Linked DNA regions of Oryzias latipes. The protein of the gene in region 2 interacts with the protein of the main gene of each other region in a pairwise test. Links are inferred from orthologs where the notes say so. Each region holds a gene or a part of one and is shown on either strand. Other genes may lie near its edges.

What was found.
Region 1: the proteins of ataxin-3 (region 2) and c6h16orf70 interact in binary tests that used the Homo sapiens proteins (3 or more experiments, as listed by UniProt). The link is inferred for Oryzias latipes from reciprocal best matches to the Homo sapiens genes ATXN3 and PHAF1.

What each region holds. Positions count from the first base shown.
Region 1 is NC_019864.2:26,104,932-26,108,319, forward strand, and holds part of c6h16orf70 (UPF0183 protein C16orf70 homolog), read left to right. Parts: coding exon 1-82; intron 83-210; coding exon 211-254; intron 255-348; coding exon 349-398; intron 399-621; coding exon 622-680; intron 681-896; coding exon 897-969; intron 970-2,126; coding exon 2,127-2,222; 3' UTR 2,223-3,388. UniProt on the Homo sapiens protein: Plays a regulatory role in autophagic activity. In complex with BCAS3, associates with the autophagosome formation site during both non-selective and selective autophagy.
Region 2 is NC_019880.2:12,489,178-12,493,307, reverse strand, and holds the start of ataxin-3, read left to right. Parts: upstream 1-1,324; 5' UTR 1,325-1,368; coding exon 1,369-1,413; intron 1,414-1,882; coding exon 1,883-2,047; intron 2,048-2,124; coding exon 2,125-2,169; intron 2,170-2,253; coding exon 2,254-2,339; intron 2,340-2,426; coding exon 2,427-2,493; intron 2,494-2,568; coding exon 2,569-2,656; intron 2,657-2,729; coding exon 2,730-2,859; intron 2,860-2,933; coding exon 2,934-3,091; intron 3,092-3,182; coding exon 3,183-3,339; intron 3,340-3,479; coding exon 3,480-3,535; intron 3,536-3,681; coding exon 3,682-3,728; 3' UTR 3,729-4,130. Other genes in the region: E3 ubiquitin-protein ligase UBR1, read right to left, coding at 1,174-1,218. UniProt on the Homo sapiens protein: Deubiquitinating enzyme involved in protein homeostasis maintenance, transcription, cytoskeleton regulation, myogenesis and degradation of misfolded chaperone substrates.

The DNA of each region.
Region 1 (3,388 bases), on a different chromosome or scaffold from region 2:
ATATTCTTTTTGACTCAACAACTCACCTGGTGAAGAAGTTTGTTCTCCATACCAACTACCCAGGACATTACAACTTTAATATGTAAGTATCTGAGCTCTTCTTCTTTGATATTTTCTTTTTTCCCTGCCTGCTTGTGTCCTAATGTTTCTCTAGAATATCAGACACGTCTTGTTTTTCTCTCATGTTTTTTCACTGCTCTCTTGATGCAGATATCATCGATGTGACTTTAGGATTCCTCTCATCATCAAAAAAGGTGGAACGATTTGAAATCATGAGTCTGATCTGGACTGATATTTTCCGTGAGGTTTAAAGATAATTAATACGGGGATCTCTGCTTCCTGTTTTAGAAGGAGCTGATTCTCAGGCTGAGGACTGCATCTTAACCACCTACAGCAAGGTCAGTTCTGGAGAGATTATCTGGTCCAAAGGTGCCGGTTCCAGAAAGCTTAACTGAGATATCCAGTTTTGGGGTTTCCTGTCCTCTGGTTGTTTTGAGCCAGGAAGAGAATATCTGTCTGTTAATGCTCCCTGTTGTCATTAAAAAACTAACGTGAAAGTCAAAGACATCTTGGAGTTGGTCTGATCAGCTGTTGAGGATTTTTTTTTTGAATCTCTCCTAGTGGGATCAGATTCAGGAGCTGCTGGGTCACCCTATGGAGAAACCTGTGGTGCTACACAGGTAGGGGAATCTCCGTCCCTTTAACCCTTGTGCTAGCTTGTGGGGTCCAGATGACCCCACTCCCAATGATAACGTGCCTCCAAGGCACGTTATCGTTGGGAGCGGGGTCATCTGGACCCCACAAGATAGCACAAGGGTTAAAGCTGCGAAATTCAGATGGTATTATTGCCAGGGAGGCGGTGAGAACTGAGCATGCTCACAGGCATCTGTTTCCAGGTCGTCATCGGCCAATAACACCAACCCGTTTGGCTCCACCTTCTGCTTCGGACTGCAGAGGATGATCTTTGAGGTCAGTTCCTGTTTCTGTTGGGTTTGCAGAGCCTTGATGGCAAAAAACATGCAGATTTACTGAATATTTCTTTATTTGGCTGATATCACAGCAGGGAATATGCCAGTTATTTTGCTTTAAAAGCCTTAAAAGTAGCCGGCACCCGGCGAAGGTTCACTGCCTGCAAGTGAAGTAATCCCCGCCTACTTTTTGACGACAAACAGAAGTTTCATTTAGTGCCCCGCAGAAAAATGAGCGCTCAGTGCTGAGCACTCGCCAATTGCAAGCATTTATTTCTGTTTGAGGAGTAAAAGTTAAAGGGCTACAGCATAAATGTCCTCTTCCACTGTGTGCGCGCGCGAGGTACACAAGAGCATGCGGCGTGAGGGCGCTACCCCCTCCTGTAATTCACCTCTGTGTGGCGTTTGGCTGATGAAGCAGTGGGATCCACACCAAACTGGAGGATGAAGCTGCTGGGCTCGCAGCAGCAACAGAAAGTCTCCTAATAAAAAAGTGTCGATCTGGAAACAGCTGTTTGTTAGACACTGATGCTATGGTGCTGTGATGGTCTGATGTCGCGTGTTGTCAGCAGGTGACCACAAACTGATTTAATGTCAGACAATATTTTTAATGGACTGGATATTAAGACGTGGTGGATAAATACATAAAAAGGATATTTCACAGGTTTAATAACAGACATGACTCCACGGTATATCAAAGATAGCAGCCACTATTGCAGCCTGCATCTTCACTCTCAATGACATAATGGCTGCCATCTTTCAGACTGTTTTTTGTTAAGATTTAATGTAAAAATTAATTACCTGGGGGCAGAATTAGGGGGAAAAAAGTGCATAAAGGAAAATGAAAAAAAAAATGGAACACTTCATTGATGGTGTCAATTTACTTCCCTTCCTCAAAGGTTTTAGAAGCTGAAATAATGCTCCAGATGTCTGGAAAATGCACATAAAAAGCCATAATTTTCAAAATGTTCCAGAGGAAGAACCCCCAGACCCCCCCCTCAGTCAACCCACGAGCTTAAAGTTTCCTTAATTATGAGAAAAATGCTAGCAGAACATGTTAAAAACACCCTAAAAACCCACAATTTTCATAGGAGTGGGTGGTTAAGACGTGCTCATCAAATGTTGTGTGACGTCACTCCTGTGTCTGCTGCTCCACAGGTGATGCAGAACAACCACATAGCTTCAGTCACCCTCTACGGTGCTCCTCGGACGAGCAGCCAAGCCCGAGCTGAGTCCAGCGGCAGCTCCCACTGAACAAGTGGGGTGCTCCTGGAGTTTCTCATCCACAGCCACATTCTGAGCCCAGCAGCCCTGATCGAAAACGCGACTCAACTCAGAGGGTTTGCACCAAACCGAGAAGCTTCCAATCCTGGGTCAACAGGACCCCTGAGAGCGAAGGGGTGGTCCATGCTAACGGTTCAGAGCGCCACGGCGCCGCAGAGCTCACCTGCTCCTGTTCTGTGAGGTCCTTGGGATCTCATCTGCTGAGGATCATTTAACAGACCACACACACACACACACACACACACACACACACACCACTGGTCAGCCCCCTCTGCTGAACCACAATGGACCTCCAGATCCACAGAAGAACCATTGGAGCCAAACTGAGAGTCACAGAGGGGAGAATCTCATCCAGAACAGGGGGTCTCCTTCTTCCTCGTCCTCCTCCTCCTCCTCCTCCCTGGGGCGTCTGTAAACACAAAGCACGCTGAACAACCCTGCTCACAAACATCTGTGTGTGTGGTTTTGCTTCTGTTTTTTTTTTTGGTGTGACTGCTGAATGAAAGGAGACTCATAAGCACAAGTTTGTGATGTTTCAACTCGCCGCTTCCTGAAGTTCACAGTTACATTTGCACTAAAACACACCGTCTTACTTGATTGTGCGACATCCTCAGTGTTCAACGTATGCGTTTGTCCTTCCCCCCCAACCCCCCACTTGTTTTCATCGTTGCATTTAACTGGTAGATCACGATCCTCTTGTTTCCTTTCTTTCTTTGCCAAATGCCAAAGCCAAAGATTTGGGGTGTTTTTTTTTGTGTGTCAAGTCTACAGTCTTGACTTGTGTTGTCGCTACGGTAACGCCTTCTTAACGATTCAACTCGTCCTGCTGTTGTGAACGAGCTTCGTCCTGGAGCTGAATCCATTTTTCTGAAAGGAGGAAGATCAGAAGTTGTTGTTAACGTTTAGTTATCATCCCTGTTGTTGTTAGTTAATGTAAAGTGTTGCTTTGAACACACTCTGATTTGAGCTTATGTTTCGCTGAGCTCCATCGTTTTTTCCTACATTTTGTCTGACATGAAACTTATTCAGTTTTCTGTGACCATCAAGGATATTCTTCAACAAATTTAAGCTCTTTCCTTTCAGTTTCAGGTTTTAGGCAGGCGAGAGAAGACATTTTTCAGTATTAGTTTTTTGAT
Region 2 (4,130 bases):
AATACCATCTGGATTGAGGCACGGTAAGTTTATTTCACAACAACATAAATATGAATCGGTGTCATCACAGAGGACAACACACATGTGATGGCTGCAAAAAAGGATCAATCCATAATTACAGTCCAATGTGTGGAAACACTTTTTACAAAGACATGTGACCATAAAGTGTGGTAGAATGTTCTAATAATGTTCTGTTTAGATTATTTTGTTGTGGGCTGAACTTTAGGAAACTAAAATGTCAATGGATTTGCCATTAATCCCTGTTCACTTGTTTGCTTGTACACATATTTAATTCACACTTTATTATTTATTTAATTTACACATTCTTGCAGGAGAATCCTTCACCTGCTCTACAGTACCCAGGTATTTATCACCGAGTCACACACTGGTTGATTTTTTGGCTAAAATGTCCTGAATCGATTTTCAGTCTATAAATCGTATCGTTCAAAATGAACCAATATCACCTATGAATCATATCAGCAACTAAAAAATATAATGATATGAATCAAATCATGGTTAAAATTTAACGTTACACCCCTACTTTCTAGTCTTTAGTGCCTTGAACTACAGACAACATATGATCATGTGTATATAGAAAAGCTAGAACATTGTTACTGAATTCTCCAAATCTGCTTTCCTTTTAGGATATAATAAACTTTATAATAAAAGTCCAATGATAAGTTAGTGTGAAGGAAGATTAGCTCAACAAATCGGGATGTAAATAGTTGGCAGGATCATTGTGAAAATTTAAACGATAAAATTATGGTTCGTAATAAATGTTCAGTTTCACATTCATTTTTCGAAAGATACAACTTTTTTTCACTAAATTCTTCAAAAAAACAGGACTGATGCTCAGTGTTTAAAACTCGTAAAACGGGGTTTTGGACAAAACTAAGTACTAAAATATCAGATTGACCTACACATCTGCAAACAGATCGCGTTTCTGACGAAGATTCAAATCGCTGATGCTAAACAATACCGAAAAATAAACCTGTTTTGTAGCATCTCTAAGCTAGTAAAGCGGTTAGCCGTTTCCAGCTTCTGCCTGCTAGCTTTAGGACCGTCACTGCGCGTTGAGCCCGTTTTCTGTGTAGCATTTTATAACCCCACGCGTACGTGTCAAATATCCGAATCTCGGTAATAACTGTCAGTTTTTAATTTGCAACGCCATACCTTACTGAGCTCCAGTCCGTCAAGGTGTTTCTTACTCTCTGCCATATTTCATTTGCCGAAAAAGGAGGGGGGTTTCCTGTGTGACCAATATCCTTTCGGTTGTTGGAACGGAGCGAGGTTGTACTCCAAAATGATCCATAGAGGGCGCTAATAGAGATTGGTTCCCATCTTTACAGGAGTAGGGGTCAAAGTTGAATGTTTGACAGAAATCTAAACATGGATTCCATATTTCATGAAAAAGTAGGTTTAAACAATTTACTTGTGACATTAAACTGAACGCCTTTACTCGTGTGTAGTCGGAGAGAGTAAAGACACTTAGCATTTATTTAGAGTTTGTGTTTAGCCGGTGCTAGCTTCAATCTAATGTTATTTTGGCTTTATTCAGACTGCTAATGCTAACTCACTTGCTAACCAGGTGTTGTTAAGTTTCTTTAAAAGCTAATAGAATGAAGTTAGAAAACGAGTTTGCGGTATTTATTGTACACTTCGACTCCACCAATAATTATTAAAGAAAAAGGATACTAAAGTTGTATGTTGCTCGTTGTTTAGATGTTTGAAACATTATTTATTTTTTATTTATTTTTTTGTAGTTGCTTTAGCTTTTTGTATAATCTATCTCCAAGGTTTTGTAAGTTTTTGCACTCCATTTTGAAAAAGTGGAGACCTTTTTTTTTCTCAATACGTTTACGCAGTTATTCTTTGTTTTCAGCAAGAGGGTTCCTTATGTGCCCAGCACTGCCTCAACAACCTTTTGCAGGGGGAGTATTTTACCCCTGTAGACCTGTCCTCAATTGCTCATCAGCTTGACGAAGAGGAGAGAATGAGAATGGCAGAAGGAGGTATGGGTAGTGAAGAGTACAGGACCTTCTTACAGGTAAGTGGGGACAGGTAACAGATGTTTTCTGCAGTGGTACATGTATTTAAACAACTGTTTTAATAATAACTTTATAGCAGCCATCTGGAAACATGGACGACAGCGGATTCTTTTCAATACAAGTATGTTTATGTGCTTTGTCATATGATCATTAGCAATCAACTTTACAAGATTGTCTTATCACTCCTTATGACTGATTTTTATAGGTAATTAGCAATGCTCTCCGAGTGTGGGGATTGGAGTTAATTCTCTTCAATAGCCGGGAGTACCAGAGCTTGATGATAAATCCAATGTAAAGTTGTATTTTCAAGACTTCCTTGTATAGCAAGTCGATCCCACACCCACATTTAAATCCTGACTTGATGTCTTTGCCTTTAAGAAACGAGAAGGCCTTCATTTGCAATTATAAGGAGCATTGGTTCACCATACGCAAGCTTGGACAACAGGTATGTCGATTTTTATTTTTTTACTTTTCAATACGTGTGTTGATGCTTAATTTACTTATTTAATTATTATTACAGTGGTTTAACTTGAATTCACTCTTGACTGGACCAGAGCTGATATCAGACACATATTTAGCTCTTTTCCTGGCACAGCTACAACAAGAAGGTATTGTAAAGCCGACTTGTTTACACTATTGCACCTTTTGGTACACAAATACAAAAATAATGTATTTCTGCAGGATATTCCATATTTGTGATCCAAGGGAATCTTCCCGAATGTGAAGCAGAGCAGATTCTCGGAATAATGCGGGTTCAACAACAGCAACGGCCCAGGCTAATTGGAGAGGATGAGGCTCAGACAAGTTCAGGGTAGGTTTGTGGAAAATGGTCCTCGCTTGGATTACATTAGGTCTTGTTTGGACATAATACATGTCTGTTTTTAGAAGCAGATCCGTTGCTCGGGGGCAAATGGACGTTGTATCAGATGAGGCTGTGGATGACGATGAAGAACTAAAGAGAGCTCTGGCACTCAGCAGACAGGAAATGGATGTGGAAGATGAAGAAGCTGACCTTCGCAGGGCCATTCAGCTCAGCATGCAAGGTGTGCCATTTCAAAGCTCCAGGCTGATTTGAAAATATTTTATTATATTGGAATTTTTTAACCCTTTTTTTGACGTTTTTCCTTTAACTAGGATCAGGCATGAGTAACAAATCTTCAGAGTCTGATGTGGGAAATGTGAAATCCGAAAAACGGACTGTACAGAGTTCTACATGTGGAGATAAACCAGGCCAGAATGAGACACTTACTGCTGAGGAGCTGAGGAAGAGGAGACAAGCTTATTTTGATCGGTAGGATTTGATCTGTAAAACTTGAATTTAACAAAAAAAAAAACTTTCAGTAATATGTGTACACATGTTCAAAGGTCTTTTTTTAGTGAGCAGAAAGGAGAAATGTGCCTTATGAACCAGACTTTCGTATTATCTTTCAGGCAAGCACAACCAAGCATTCCACGACAGTTAGAAAGTCATGCAACCAGTGACTCTGGTGAGTAAACTCTATTTAAAATTCAAAACACCCTATATGTATAACACCCATTATATACAGTTTTTTGCATATCAGAATGAAAATGTAGATATTATTTTCATGTCAGAACAATAACCCAAGTATCCATTTTTTGCCCCTAACACCAGAAAAATCCAACTCTATGGAGGACCAACAAGAAAAAGACACCAAATAAAGTTGTGAAAGCTTTGCTGCTTTTGTCTACCAACGCTCTGAACTTGAAACCCTGTACAGGGGTTGGCTTCTCTCCATTCTCTAACCTTTTGCAAACGCAAACATACTGCAGCCAGAAGGCCGACACATGGTTTCCTTCGCTGGGTTTGCTGATGGGCAAGGGAAAGGCAGCACTTGGTCAAATCAGACCTCAGTGTGGTACAGAGATGGGGGAAAAGGGTGATCGCTGGACTTAAAAATGACTCATAATGTAGTTATTCCAAGTTTTCAATGGCCTTTTTTTATTTTACCATAGAGCCTTCTATTTCTTTACATTCTGGTTTTTGTTGTCTTAATTTTTTTTGAAAACATAAAGAGAAAATGAATGAAAAATGGGTTAACTTTTATGAAGTTGGATTCTAAC